Astyanax mexicanus: one gene and its partner. The protein of the gene in region 2 purifies or fractionates together with the protein of the main gene of each other region. This does not show direct contact. Links are inferred from orthologs where the notes say so. Each region holds a gene or a part of one and is shown on either strand. Other genes may lie near its edges.

Region 1 (7,728 bases), on a different chromosome or scaffold from region 2:
TGGTGGGGGATTTGTTGGAATCATGAAAATAGCCTAATAAAGAGGAATGGGGTTAGAAAAGTATAAAAGAAGCATTCTTTTCACTATTCAACATAAACTTTAAAATGCGTACATAAAACTCACTCTCATTGGATGAATATCTGCATAGGGAGGCTTGCCCTCTGCCATTTCTATGGAGGTGATGCCAAGGGACCAGATATCTGCCACACAATTGTAACCGATCTCCTGAATCACCTCAGGAGCCATCCAGAAAGGAGTGCCAATTACAGTGTTCCTCTTTGCCATTGTATCCTTTGATAGAAAAGGAAACATAGCTCAAAATGAGCATACTTGTGTATCAGCACTGCAAATGAATGTCCCTTCCCAAAAAAAAAGCCCTCAACACTTACAGTAAGCTGCCCAGCCACTCCAAAATCAGCAAGTTTAGCATGCCCCTCAGTGTTAAGGAGAATGTTCCCAGCTTTGATGTCCCTGTGAATTTTCCTCATAAAGTGCAAATACTCAAGGCCCTTCAAGGTGGATTTGAGGATGGTAGCGATCTCATCCTCTGTGAGCTACAAAAAAGGGGAAAAGGGATTGTTAAGTTTACACTGAGACCAAAATCAAAGCAACTTCCCTTCTTTCCAATAACCATGTGATAAATGTACTTACTGTTTTATTACGTAATCTGATGATATCAGACACAGAGCCAGCACCGCAGTACTCCATAACAATCCACAAGTCTGTATTCTTGAAATAACTGCCATAGTACTTCACCACATAGGGACTAGACAAAGGGGGAAAAGCTTATTTGAATTTCTTAAAAGTAATGCTATACATTTCTAAAAAAAAATTATATCTGTATCCATAGAACTACCTATGTAATATACTCTGTGTAGTAGAGGGATGTGAACTTTTACCTGTCACATTGCTGCATGATAGAAATCTCCTTAATGATTTCCTGCAGGTCAGACTCCACAGGAACCTGCTTAATGGCCACTACCTGGCCTGATTCTTTGTGAATGGCTTTAAATACACTGCCATAGGACCTACACAGACAAGTAGCAGATTAAACAAGCAAATTAATTTAAAATTCATCAAAGACATCTATCTACCTGATAACAAAATACACAGGTCAAACTATCTAATCAAACACAGACTTCCCTTTATTACAAATGTATTAGATATTTGGTGTTCAAAGCTGGCCTATGTGCAACTGGATTAAAAGGTTGGTTACACCTAACAGAGAATCAGAGGTGTTTATCTGTACACTTTCTGAGTAAACTCTCCATTTATATGCATGGTTCATGTACATGTAACATCACGAGCATGTTTACATTATCACTTAGTGTAAATGTAACCATGACAATAACAACAGCATCACGTGATGCCATATTAATAATAATTAATAATAATTAATAACATAAATAATATTAATAATTATATTTTAAATGTCTAAGTATAGAACACAAACAAGATATACACGTTTGACCATAATTGAATCATGTTGAATCAATGATTAATTATTGTAAAGTCAATGTGCACACAAATTCTGATGTTGGAGGTCAACATTGTTTCAATGGATGTTGAATGGTGATTCACTGTCTGTTTGCTATCTTGGTCTTCATTGCACATTTCATTTTATTCATCAATGTAAAATACAATACAACAGTTAAAATGAACTGTATACTGAAAGCATTGTAGTCACAAATTTAATCTAGTATTATTTATTTGTTTGTATTTATTATCTATTTATTATTTTATATTTACCATCTGCACCACATTTATGCTACTCCTTTTTAAATGTAAATCAAGTCAGGTTAAGTAGTTTTACTGTCAATACTGCATATGTACAGGACATTGAAATTGAAACATGGATTGAAATTACTTTACTCTCTTTCCCAAAGGCACAAAACAATAGTACAATAGTGATGGGGGGATTAAGAGGGAATGGCAGTACCAGTATAAACACAACCTGTATAACCAAAAGTGTAAATTCAGGGGTATACATATAAATATGTATAGGGATATACAGAAATATTTAAAAACATTTAAATAGAATATAAGGGATATAATAAGTTCTTCCTGAGAAAGTGGCATATACACGGAAAAAAAGTAATCCCAGTGAGTGGAAAACGCCTTAGCCAGGCCAATAAAAGTTGTATTTAATCTGAACAACTACTTCTGGGTTTGAGTCAGTGAAATGTATTTTTCCTGTCTCATTCATACAGTGCAAAACTGCAGACACAATCCTGTCCTGACTGATGGATTAACTAGTCAAGTTAGCGAGGAAAAGCGAATCCATTATATTAATTAAGTGAAGTAATAGGCATTAACTTACCCTTCTCCAAGTTTCTCGAGCACATCGAAGACCTCCTCGGGCTGCTTGGTTAAACTGTCCTCACTGAGTTTCTTCAGTTTACTGTCAGAACACATAATAATAGGTTTAATAACTGAACACATCCAGGTAGAGTAAACTAGCTTGGAGAGCTGGGTGAACTACTGCCACGTTTTTTGTCGTAGTTGGGTTATAGGGACAGGCTCCCTCTGACCTGCTGACGCTTTCAGTTGCTACTGTAAACACTGGCTAGCTCAGGCTAGGCTAGCTAAGCTAATTTAGCAATATAAGAAACAGAAACAGCTGAAGGAAACGGGTAATCTGAGTATATAAACCCGGAGTAAACTAGAATCTAGACATCTATGGATCTGTAAACTTCACATTCAGAGCAGTGAGAAGATCTGAGACAGGAAATCTGGGTGATATGGGAGTCCGGCGGGATATCAGGCCTGTAAACAGCCGTGTTCACAAACTGGGCGATACTCACTTTTTAGGTACCGGCTGCTCCATTGCGCATAAAATAAAGAGTAAATAAAGAGCTAGGGCGTTCTGTCTTATAAACTCAGAATCCTAAAGAACACAGGGAAAACTCATGACCGGGGAACTTGTCGCTAATTCTTCTGTATCTGGAAAAACACTTGGCTCCGCTCTTCCTCCCCGTTTACTCAAAACCTAATGAAGCCGCAGACAACTGACACTCAGGCACCCTTCAAAATAAAAGTCTTAAAACACACATTTTCCTTTTAATAGATTTATGTTTGAGTAAAATGAACGTTGTTGTTTTATTCTTTAAATAACATACAACATTTCTCCCAAAATCCAAATAAAAATTTTGCCATTTAAAACATGTATTTGAATGAATAAGAAATGACTGAAATAACAAAAAAGATCCAGAACTTTCAGACCTCCTATAATGCAAAGAAAACAAGTTCATATTCATAAAGTTTTAAGAGTTCAGAAATCAATATTTGGTGGAATAACCCTGTTTTTTAATCATATCTTCATGCATTTTGGCATGTTCTCCTCCACCAGTCTTACACACTGCTTTTCAATAACGTTATGCCACTCCTGGTGCAAAAATGTAAGCAGTTCAGTTTGGTTTGATGACTTGTAATCATCCATCTTCCTCTTGATTATCACAGAGGTTTTTAATTAGGCAAAATCAAAGAAACTCTTGATTTTAAATGGTGTTTTATTTTTTCCAGAGCTGTATATAACCTGCACCTTTCTTTTTAAATTTATTTTTGTATACAATACAATCCAACAGCCTAAAATAGACACAATGTCAAATACACAGCATAATCAACATCACAATTACATAAATTTTTTTTTAACAAACCTAAACAAACAAAACAAATAGAATAAAGAATATTGGGAATCAAATAAAATTGAAAAACTTTAAAATATCAATGGATTTGTGACATTTTTAATTTTTAATTTTTCAAAATTAGTCAGTAAATGTATATAATTATATAAATCTCAATAAACAAAAGTTTGGAATAAGGGTATCTTTTTAGCAAATTTAGTTTTGTGTATAAAAAAATGCCCACAAATTATAATTAAATTTTCTATAATTGGTTTTATTATGGTCAAATGAAGGGTCATCAAAAATAAAATATATATTGGACTTTGAGGGGATTTTCCAAACAAAGCAAGAAAAACCACAATAAAACCTTTACAATGGATTCTGTGGCTCCTTTACAATGTAACCTGCATTTAAAACACAGAAAGAGAGAAAAAAAAAACGTGCAGTATCATTTCAAAGCAGTTCACAACATTTATAAAGGAAATTTATTAAAATACTGTGGCGGCTCTGGGTTGTGTGTGTGGCTGCCTGTAGGCATGGTGCGAGGATGACAGGGGTGGGGCATCTCCCTTCGGAGGGGTTATGCAGAGAGGGTGGGCACCACTCTGGATCTGCCATCTGGGAGACACACAGCTGGGTTGGTGGCCTTTGGGCTATTTTAGGTCTGTGGGTTAATGGTTTTAGCTCTCCTAGTCTTGTTAAAGGCTGTAAGTGAGTGGCAAGCCTGTTCAATAAAGGAGCTGTTGAGCATTCAGCATGAGTCTCACAAGTCTTCCTTCCTCTTCCACGCCACAATACTATATAAAAGCAATTTTTTAATAGCTAGGATTTTGGTGTACATGTGTGCTTGTAGGTTAGTATAAACAGGTTAATTTTTCAGTTAAATATAATTAATAACAATATAATATAAATGCACTACATTTCAGTAAAATCTTATATAACTGCTCAGTAATAAATATCAACCTCAAAGCAGAAGTGATACAGAGACACTTTAGTAGCACGCTCTCTCTCTCTCTCTCTCTCTCTCTCTCTCTCTCTCTCTCTCTCTGTATATATGCAGGTCTATAGGAAGGAAGCGGCCTGTTTATTTATTTAGCTATGTACTTAAGTTATTTATATGTGTCTGTTCAAGGCATGGATATCACATTCACTCCACTCTATTGGAAGTTCAAATGAGGAGACACTGTCTATATATACAGAAAACGAAATAATAATAATAATAATAATAATAATAATAATAATAATAATAATAATAATAAAGAACATCTGATAAGGTTGATGATGGAAAATTATTCTGTCATCAATGTTAATTTAAGGAAGGTTTTAAATGGTTGGGCTGATCTCTTCTACACTCCCAATGCTATTAGGTGAACATAATAAGATTAATATGAATAATACTAATAATTCTAACCTAAATTAGAAGTTTAAAATAATTATTTTCTACAAAGTACAAAGTACAAGCTATAACAATAAAATCCAAACATACACATATATACAAATATACATATTTAATGTAAGTTGTTTAACACAAATTAATTCAATGTCAGTTTGCTATATTGGTCTTTAATGTACCTTTTATTTTAGTTACATGATCTTTTAAATGATAAAATACATCAGATAAAATTAAAAGTATCCTTAGAGCATCATATTTACAAGTTCAACCTAGAATTATTCCTTTAAACATGTTTTATTTGTTTTTATAAGCTATTTTATAAGCTTTTATGATTTTGAATTTCTCCTCTGCACCACATTTATGGTAATCCTATTTGAGTGTAAGAATATTTTAAGAAATATTGTTCATTATAACTCTTTAAACCTTTATGCATCATCCTGTGAAAATTATTACATCAGTGTGAAAATTAAATAATAAACTAGTAAAATAGTAAAAACCATAAATAAGAACATAACATCTGCTCTCTGGTGGACTAGAAAGGTACATACAGATTTCCAAAGTCTGAAACTACTATAGTACAATTTTAAAGGCAACTCATGTTAAAGTTTTGTAAAAACATGCTGTAAACAATACATCCCAGTATTATTTGAATTCAGTGTTATTTTATTCTTTTTTATGTCACTCATTAGTCATCATGTATAAACACAGTATGTTACACTAAACAACCCAAGGCCGTTACTGTTACAGTGACATTACAGATGACATTAATTGTTGACATTAATTGTAATTGGTTGTTGACTGATTCAGAAATAAAGTGCCTGTATTCCTGCCTCTCACAGTGGGTTCTGACAGCGTCAATTGCACTGTCAGCACAGCATACATACATCACACATCACAGCAAATTGCCCTGTCAGTCAGGGCCCATGATCACAGTCAAGGCAGAATCAGAACAGCCCTACACACACACACACACACACACACACAGCTGTATGCAAAACATGTTTACCAAATAACACCAAATGAATTATTTAACATGACGTTTTAGTTCATTTTAATGCATATTTATTGTAACTTCTGTGCAGAAGTTTGGATTAGATAACATAAGATAATAATCATTAGTCCCACATCTGAGATAATAAGTGTTGTAAATGCTCAAATTTTACATATATTTTCTGTAAACCTCTTCAAACCCCATGCTAACAACCAGGACCTACAAGCCACTGCCTTAAGATCTAAATGTGATTGAAACCCACAGGACAGGGAAAGGCTATTAGAAGATAGCCAAGGGGTTTCAGCTTGTGGTTTATGCAGTGAAGAATGTCATTAAATAATTGCAGTTCAGGGGAACTGTGGAAGTCAAAATGAGATTTGTAAGTCCAGCAATAAACAGAAATTATGTGTTTAAAAGGAACTGGATTTTTGTACTAAGAAGACATTGTCAACTGTAAAGCGTGATGGTGGATCTAGCAAGCCTTGGGTTGTGTTTCAGTAGCACTGAGAAAATTAATTTGGATACTAATGCAAAATCTGCCTAAAGAGACAAAACACTTACACAATCTAGTAATAGACCCTAAACAAGCTTAAACAAACATGCTTCTCAGATTTCTCAGAACTAGAGGCCTTTTGCAAAGAAACTACATTAGCTGAAAAACAAATTTAGTTTTATTGTGGGTTTTTTTTTCATATTTTTCATATTTTAATCCTGCTTCTGATATTTGTTTGCATTGTTTGTCATCATTTTTGTCAAAGAGGAAAAAACAATAACAACAACAACAACCATTCATCAACTATCAGAGCTATCAGTAGTGGTAGTAGGAGGAGGAGAAGGAGGAGGAGAGTTTTCAGGCCACTAAACAAGTGCATGAATCTTCTCCCCGACAAAAGCCCTTTTGTGCTTTAATTGAAAGGTTTGGACTATGTCTTGACATATTGCCCATATTGCAACAGTTCAGATCAGGTTTAAATATCTTCATTATATTGGTCGTATTACTGTTGCCTGAGTAGCTGGAAACACATACACAGCATTTGGTATCCTGAAATAGAGGGGTATAGCTGGGAGGAGAGGGGTGGACGTGTGTCTGTGTATATCAGAGAGTGAGAGGGAGGGAGAAGCGGGAGGGGGCGGATATCAAACCAGAGCACAAGAAGCAGATTGCGGGCACCGCGTCAGAGACGAGAGGACACACAACATTACACGGCTCATAATTCCCCAGCCAGAGCAACCAGAGCAGCAGCACCACCAACAGCAGCAGCAGCAGCGGCAGCAGCAAATCCTGCACCTCCAATAAACCCTACACAACCCAGGAGCAGAGACCTAAAAGAACATCAGCAGCATTAACAGACCTTTACAACATGGGGGTCATATAGAGGGCAACTGTCTGTATGTGTGTGGATGTGCAGAAGTGAGTGTGTATGTTTGTGAGCAGAGTTTGAGTGTGAGTGAGGAACCCTCAGAACAGCAGTTAATGAGTGGAGTCCAGAAGAATGAGTCTTGACCCCGTGCAGGTCATGAAGGGCCAGGACCCCATGGCCCTTAGCCCTCCGCCAGCTTCTAATGGAGACAGCAAAGTGTCCTGGGATGAAAAAGAGGGCTTCTGTGACAGTGTGGGTCCCAAAAAGCCCAAATCAGTAAGTTCTGATCACTTCGGATCTTGTTTATGTTTGTGTACCCCTCCTCATTAAAACACTTGTAATGAATTGTGCATTGACTAA
Region 2 (7,906 bases):
AATGACTTTAAACCACATGACCTGCCTCGCGTCTTCCCATCCAAAAGGTGTTCTATCAGGTTGAGGTCAGGTTTCTCTGCAGGCCAGTCAAGTTATTTGCACACCAAACTGTCCATCCAAATATTTATGGAACAGAAATGGGGCATCCCCACACTGTTCCCATAAAGTTGAGAGAAAGAATTAGTTCCAACCCTGTTGGTATGCTAAAGCATTAAGAGTAAGGAAGTTAAGGAAGTCCCACATCATAAGCCTCCCTCCACTAAACTTGACACTTGGCACAATGCACGGAGACAGGTCCTCCTGGCAGCTGTCAGTCCAGTACAGAGGTGGCATGCTTTACATCACTGCATCCCATGCTTTGCACTGTGCTTGGTGATGTAGCTTGGTAATGTATGCCGTGGATGCAGCTGCTCAGCCATGGAAACCCATTGCATGACCCTCTCTACACACTACCGTCTTTAAGCTAATAAGAAGGCAGTAAAATTTGAAGGCCGGGAGCACTTGACTGTACAGAAACTAGACATGCACTAAATGCACTATGCTATCAGCATCCACTTGCACTAGGTGGCCTAGCACTTTGTGACTGAGTTGCTGTCTTCCCCAAACACATCACTGACAGTAGACGGTGGAATATTTAGTAGTGAGGACATTGTCCAAGTGGACTTTGTTTTACAGGTGGCATCCTATCAGGGTATCACACTGGAATTCACTGAGATCCTAAGAGCCAACCATGCTTGCACAAATGTGCAAGGCCATGAAGTGATTGGAACACCTGAGTTCAAGTATTTGGATAGGTAAGGTAGTGCTTTTGGAAACGTAGTATACTTAGCTACAGTTCAAACAAGTCAGTATAGTAAAACGTAAAGAAAATCACAAAACCACAGCAGGCAGTCACGAAAAAGCAACCTGCTAGTTAGTTAACTAAATCAAAACGGGTCTCATTTGGGACAAAAACATCACAGCAAGCTTGCTATTTCATACACATGATCCAGCTGGACCTGTTTGTGCATGCCTAAAGCACTCTCTCACACTCACACACGACTCACCTTGCCTGTCTTGTGGTCGAACCAGACGAGAGCGTGATTCCTGGACAACACCTTGCAGTCGAAAGTGGCGTTGTTCTGGGCTGGCCGACACCGGGCCACCGACCGCCCGATCTTGACGGGCTCGTCCAGGTAGACATGACGCTCCTGAAACGGGTGCGAGTTCGGGCGGCAGGTGAAGACGGCCAGCGCTGAAGGCATGGATGAAGACGACGGCTTGGGAGTGCTACTCCAACCAGAGGCGAAAGGCAGGGCTTCTTGATCCAGAATGGCAATCCTTCCACTTTTCCTATCTTTTAGGGAAACAGTCGGTATCGTGTTTGGCTCGTGTAACGCAAACGTATGCACATGCACATATTTCCAAATCGACTAACTAACCTCGCTTACATAGCTCGCTAATGTCCAAAGGAAGAGCCAGCCAAGCCCCCCTGCTCCCCTTCTTCTCGCAAATCCACCATGATGTCAAACAGAACCCAAGGCGATGGAGCTATAGCTAGGACTGCACCTTCTCCACACGGCCATAAAAATGCATTGCTTTGGGTTTAAACGTCAACAGGCCACGATTACCTTCAGATTCTCACAATATGAGCTTCCACCACCTTGCTAGCTAAGTGGCTAACCATAGGATCACAAAAACACAGATTCAGCCTTAAATGTAGCCTTGAACGTTAAATCTGGCTTGTATCTTTTGCTAGCTTGCTGGCTAGTTATGGTAGTCAACTTAGTAGCAAGAAACCTGTTGTGTTGAGGTTTGTAAACCTACACTAGCTTAGCTACTAAACCTACAGCTTCGCAAGCTTTCTAGCCAACCTAGGTGTAAGTTACTATCTATTTAGCTATCTATCAAAATAATCCGTCGTCTTTGTTGGTGCTTCAATAAATGAAATAGAGGAATTCGTTCAATTCAAGTGCATTTAAATAACAAGCAGCTAACTAAGTTAAGAGGTCAACTCAAGTTCTCTAAACTGGAATAGCTCAAGTTAGTTAACCACTGCCCACTTTGAAATTTAGCTAGCTAATGTTTATGTCCCCAACTCACTAACTATATTTTCTGTTAGAACTAGTTAAGTTAGTTTAACTTGTGTCTTACACACTTGGGTAACTTGTATCGAGTATTTAGTTATCTCAGTTAGCCAACGTTAAATTCAAAAAACAATTTACTCTCAATAGTTAACTAACTTAACTGTAAATGTCAAGCTCTCACCCACCACTTGCTTAGCTATTTAGACACAATTCAGGCACAAATATGTTTAAACATCTTTGAAATTTAGTCTTAATCGCTTAAGACTTCAAAATAGGATATTTAATCCGATTAAATTGATTTATTTGCGGGCTGCTCATTCACACATACAGAATAAACTGTTTGGTCTCCATGTTCACAAACTGTTAGTTAACTTATTAACGCTACCTGTCTCCGTAGTTATGGTTTAAACTTGGGCAGCAGGCTAGCAAGAAATAGCTAACCTAGCTAGCTAACGAGATTTCCAAAAAGCCAGTTAGCTAGACAAGAGGAGCAAAATATGTGAGGTAGAGGCTAATAAAGCTAACTAGTTAGCTTTAATTTGTGGAAAAACACTCTTATAATCCCAGCTGTCGACTAGTCTAAGCTCTAAAATGCACAACAAATTCCTTAACTCATAAACTTTGCGATACAAAATCCCCCCTACTCCGCTTGTTAGCTTAGCTTAGCAGCAGTAGCTCACTAGCTTCGCGGCTAGCCCAGCCTAGCCTAGCCCAAGATGCTAAGCTAGCTAGCCAGCCAGCCAGCTAAAAGACACGGAACAGCAGTTTCTGGTCCTTTCCCCGCCACGCGCAGGCCGGCCTCCGGGTCCGTTAGAGGCTCCGCGCCCCGGAGACTCTAAGCAAGGTGTGTAAAGTGCTCCAGCCGGTCCGCGAGTCCGTCAGCGGCTATTCAGACTAACTTATCTCCGGTTATCCTCCTCCGCAACTCGCCGCCGCCATACTGGAGTGGAATACACAAACCGGCGGGGCTCGCGAAGAGGAGAGAGAGAGGGAGGGAACACCAGCGCTGATGCGAAATAATTGTCCAATCACCAAATAGATCGGGTGACCAAGTTAACCAATGGCATGCTAATTATTAGAATTGCAAATGAGGTTCTTGGATAGGTCACTCACTCTCTTTCCGCCCACTGTGTGTATTAGCCCTTACTACAGTGTGCAGCGTTTAAATGCAGAATATAAATAAATGTAGTAAGAAAGAAAGAAAGAAAGAAAGATAGAAATTGGAAAAGGAACGAAAAGTACAGTGACTGAAAAAAACTGATCCTTATATTCCTCCAAGAAATAAAAAAATCTGTTTTTTAGGTGCTCTAGGCTGTTATATGTTTGATAAGGGACATTACTAAAAATCATAATTGTGATTGTATTAATAAGTAAGTGAATCTGCTAATGTCAAAATATAATGAATACATTCATAAAATTGGCTCTTTCCTGACTTGCTTTTTAAAAATCAATATTTTTCTGAATACAAATCAAACAGTCCTCCAAACCTGTTGTTTCGTTATGTTTGTCTAGTTTTTGCGTCTATTTTCAAACATGCAGAATTTGGGATTGATTTCTGTTACTGATTTCAAAGCCCACACATTTTCAGAATGTAAATAAGTTATTTTACTGCAGAAAAAGGGTTTTGGATCACATACACCTGGCATTTTAAGGGGTTAACTTGCAATTTCTGAGGCTGGTAACTCTGATGAACTTATCCTGTACAACAGAGGTAACTCTTGCTCATCCTCTCTTGGGGCGGTCCTAATGAGAGCCAGTTTCATCATAACATTTTTGATAGTCTTTGCCTCTGTACTTTAGGATACTTTAGGATGATTGACTGACCTTCATATATATTTTTTCTTTACTTAGTTAAGAAGTTATTGCCATAATATGGATTAGAATATTACTCAGATAAGGCTAAACTAATTCCATATATTTTTCTTTATAGTTTGGATAATCACACAGCAACCTAGTTCTGATACATCAGCTAACAGATGCCTCTGCTGAGCAGCATCAAACTAGAAGTGATGAGATTACAATTATGATAATTATAACAGGCCAAACAAAGTGTTTTTATCACTAAAACATTAGCTTCAAGTTCATTAAGGGGGTCATGGGTTAGACAGAACATCTGTCATACCCAGCAGAGCATACTGAAGTCCAAAATCTTAGGACAGCTAATCCTATTAGTCCAGAGGGTCTTAGACGATTTATAGGATGAATCAGTTGTGATATTCAGGACAGTGCATCTCCACTCCCCAATAAACTAACGATAAGGGGTTTAGCTCCGTCTGCATGCAGTCCAGACTGAGACCAGTTTCTGTTTGTTCTGTTTGTTTGTCTGGGTAAATGTCTCTGAGATGCATGCGTGCGTTGGCGAGGAAGTGAATTAGAACAAATTAGTAAGTGTGTTCATGATTTATTATTTATGCAAATGAAGTATGTGTTACATTTGAGTCATTGCACAGAAGTTCAGATATTAATCAGCTTCTTAAATTTTGAAACTGTAAAGCATGTACGTGTTTATATGTAGAAAAGACTGAAATATTTTCTAACAATAAAATTCCATTCCATTCCGTGTTTGCATCAGCATATCTGGGAAATTGGAAAACTAAAAATCAAATATTTGCTATGAGTTTTATTTTTAATCTAAATTTTATTTCAATGTTTTTTTTTTACACAAAATAAAGAGCAGCTGGTTATATTGCTTGTTATATTTCAGGTCAAAACAAAGTTTTAAAGTTTAAAAACACACCAAAAATATATATATTTTTATTTTTAGAGAATTATTGGAGAAGACATTAGACACTGTTCTATAACGTATAACCTATAATGTATTAATGAGGGTGGAGATTGTTTTATTCATTTTTAATTGTGGCTGTTATGATTGGTATTATATTCATAAAGAACAAGTCTTGAAGAATACGACCAAATAAATCATAAAAAGCATTATAATTGTTAATAACCCACATTTCTAAAAAGCTGTGGTGGATTTGTTAACAAACAATTGTGAAGAAGAAATGGAAGCCTTCAGATTCTATAGAGTTTTTTCTTCTTTGTTCATAATAACCAATAATATGTGTTATAGAGTCAAACCAAACATATTTTTATTGGTCCTCTCTCTGATTATAACTTTCACTACAAATATATATATATTAATATTTTGAATTAAAAATAAAAAACATATCTTTTTGCTGTAAAATTAAATATTTTATATATATATATATATATATATATATATATATATATATATATATATATATATATATATATTTTTTTTAATGGCTAAAGTATAATATAACATAAAACTGTCTTAGAATGATTAATAACCCAAAGTACCCAAAAATTACCCAAGTTATGATGGCATTTTTGACAAACAGAAAGCCTTGTGTGTTATTTATTTTATTTTCCCATGTTTTATTTGTTTGTAATAATTTATTATTTTTGTTATAAGGTCAATAAATTGTACAATATACTGTACAATTAGATTATTATAAAATAATTTTATTTAAAACTTAACAGTTCTGCGATCTACAAGTCATGTCCACAGTATTAACCCGATTCCTTGTGATCTGCAGATCTGAGCTATCTACCGTACGTTGCTGCGTTATCCGCTTTTTTTTTTGTAAGTGTACGTAGGTAGCGTAAGCGCCGTTCTGAATACAGGAATACGAGCCGCAGCGTTAGTGGGCTAAGCTAGCTGGCTAAGTTAGTTTAGCCTTCGAAGTGAGTCCGAGCCGAGCGAACGGGCACCCCGGGCTCCAGTCATGGCCTTGCGAGGGTCGGAGGAGGTGGAGGAGCGGATGGAAGAAGCCGAGCAGGGCGAGGACCGGGAGCTGAAGATTTCTCCCGCGGAGGAAATGCCAGCGGACGGGCCTGGAGAGGACGAGCCGGAGCCGGAGCCGGAGCAGCAGCTGCTGCTGCCGTGGGACCGCTTCTCCGCCTGGCTACACTGCATCTGTGTGGTGGGGTTTGATCTGGAGCTCGGACAGGCGGTGGAGGTGATCATATTCATCTTATTATGTGTCATTTTATTAATACAATATATAAAAAATGAATAGGTAATGATAAATAGGTTTATTTTGAGTGGCCTGGATGGTTAGCTGACAAGCTGAAACTAGCTGAAACCATAACTAGGCTTCAAATAGCTATAAATGGCAAATCCAGGTCCAGAAAGAGCGAGTGTGCTCCATGTTTTTGTTCTAACCGTCTGTATAGCTCTGCTGCAGCTCCTGTGTTGCAGAGGTGGCCGTGCAGTTAAGACAAAATCCGGGAACGGATTTTTAATATCTGGATGTAGATTTGCCACCACTGCTAAATAGTTAAAGCTAGCTTAGCTAACTAGATAGTCTGTTAATTAATGAATGTTAACAGATATTTAGCAATATTTATTAGCTAGTAAACTAGTTGTTGTTTACTATCTAATGAATAAGTAAGTATTTAGCAGTCATGAAAACTTTAAATGTCTTTAAATATGTAATAATGTAGTTAGCTAATCTAGCTTGCTGGCTAAGCTAACGGTAATATCTATAGTCTTTAACAGTAGCTAGCCTTTCTGTTAGCCTAAACTGGCTAGCTAGGTTAGCCAAACAAACACCCACACACACACACACACAAACAACTACACACACTTCCACACAGAGAAGTTAGATTTAGAGGAAGTTTTATGTTACCTCCCTTTGTGGTTATATATTTTCATTACATCAAAATTAACTAATATTAGCTATATTAACGTTAAATAATTGCTGTAATATAAATTACAGTTTTATTTTTTATTTGTGGCTGTCATGCTGTCATGATTGTTCTTGATGCTGTTTAGATAAAAATAATTTTTGTCTGATTTATCAAATGCTGTGATATAATATTCTTACTATACCACCTAACTCTGTCAGTGTGTGATTTCATACATGTGGTGACCTTTTTACATATCGATATCGGAATATGCAGAAGTATATTGTGATATTAATTTTGCCCATATCGTCCAGCATTTCTATTTAAAATGACCAGTTCAAAGCTACATAACCATGGACTATCCTGATGTCTTTAAACTTGCTGTTTACCTGTGTTTGGTTTTGACAGTTAAACAGTGACACCATTAGTCAACAGGGTCAGGACTCTCAGAGTTCCAGTCCTAGAGGGCCAGTGTCCCTCAGATATTGGTGATTTCTCTGCTTAAACACACTGACTAGCAAAGCTTATGAATGGCTGCCAGAGAGACTTCAGCCCTCCAGATCAGAGATTTTGACCCAAGTTGACAGCGTACAGTAAGATTTGCAGTGCATAACCTGTAACTATTTTGGAGTCTTAATGAGCTCTAATTCTGTTCTTTTGTAGGTTATATACCCTCACCATTCAAAGCTCACAGAGAAAGAGGTAAGAACTGTTTCTTCTCATCTAATGCATTTGGTCTGTCAGGGTGTAGGAATTGTACTGCAAAAATGAATCGGTAGAAATGGTTTATGTATGTTTAACATGTTTTCAGATATTGGAAACTGTATAAATCCTGAAAAAATATTTACAGTTATAGATGTTTTTGGTTGACATGTACACAATTTGTTTCCAACTTCTTTCTTATTTTAGAAAACCAGCATCTGCTACTTGTCCTTCCCAGACTCCAACTCAGGTAAGCGAAAGAGTTCTTCTCTGAGAGTTCATCAGTTTTGTTGAAGTTCTGCCCCATTAAACTTGCTCCTACCTCACCACTGACTGCAGGATCAGTCTGAAATGACTATACATTGCAGTTCTGGGTCATACTAATCTTTTTTACCACATTGCTTCTACAGTGCAAACCCATTGTCACTGCTGATGTTTGCATCCAATGAGTCTTTGAGGGGTTTACATGGGAGTTCCTTGCAACC

The links.
Region 1: the proteins of slmapa (region 2) and stk3 purify together in Homo sapiens (affinity purification with western blotting; 3 studies listed by BioGRID and IntAct, with this or other methods). This does not show direct contact. The link is inferred for Astyanax mexicanus from reciprocal best matches to the Homo sapiens genes SLMAP and STK3.

Annotation. Positions count from the first base shown.
Region 1 is NC_064410.1:43,530,916-43,538,643, forward strand, and holds the start of stk3 (serine/threonine-protein kinase 3), read right to left. Parts: upstream 3,003-7,728; 5' UTR 2,828-3,002; coding exon 2,805-2,827; intron 2,402-2,804; coding exon 2,321-2,401; intron 1,029-2,320; coding exon 900-1,028; intron 767-899; coding exon 652-766; intron 555-651; coding exon 390-554; intron 292-389; coding exon 124-291; intron 34-123; coding exon 1-33. Other genes in the region: nt5c1aa (5'-nucleotidase, cytosolic IAa), read left to right, coding at 7,501-7,644. UniProt on the Homo sapiens protein: Stress-activated, pro-apoptotic kinase which, following caspase-cleavage, enters the nucleus and induces chromatin condensation followed by internucleosomal DNA fragmentation.
Region 2 is NC_064431.1:3,494,088-3,501,993, reverse strand, and holds the start of slmapa (sarcolemma associated protein a), read right to left. Parts: upstream 3,030-7,906; 5' UTR 1,422-3,029; exon of another isoform or gene 1,337-1,421; 5' UTR 1,245-1,336; coding exon 1,047-1,244; intron 1-1,046. Other genes in the region: dennd6aa (DENN/MADD domain containing 6Aa), read left to right, coding at 5,816-6,049, 7,383-7,421, 7,629-7,671. UniProt on the Homo sapiens protein: Associates with the striatin-interacting phosphatase and kinase (STRIPAK) core complex, forming the extended (SIKE1:SLMAP)STRIPAK complex.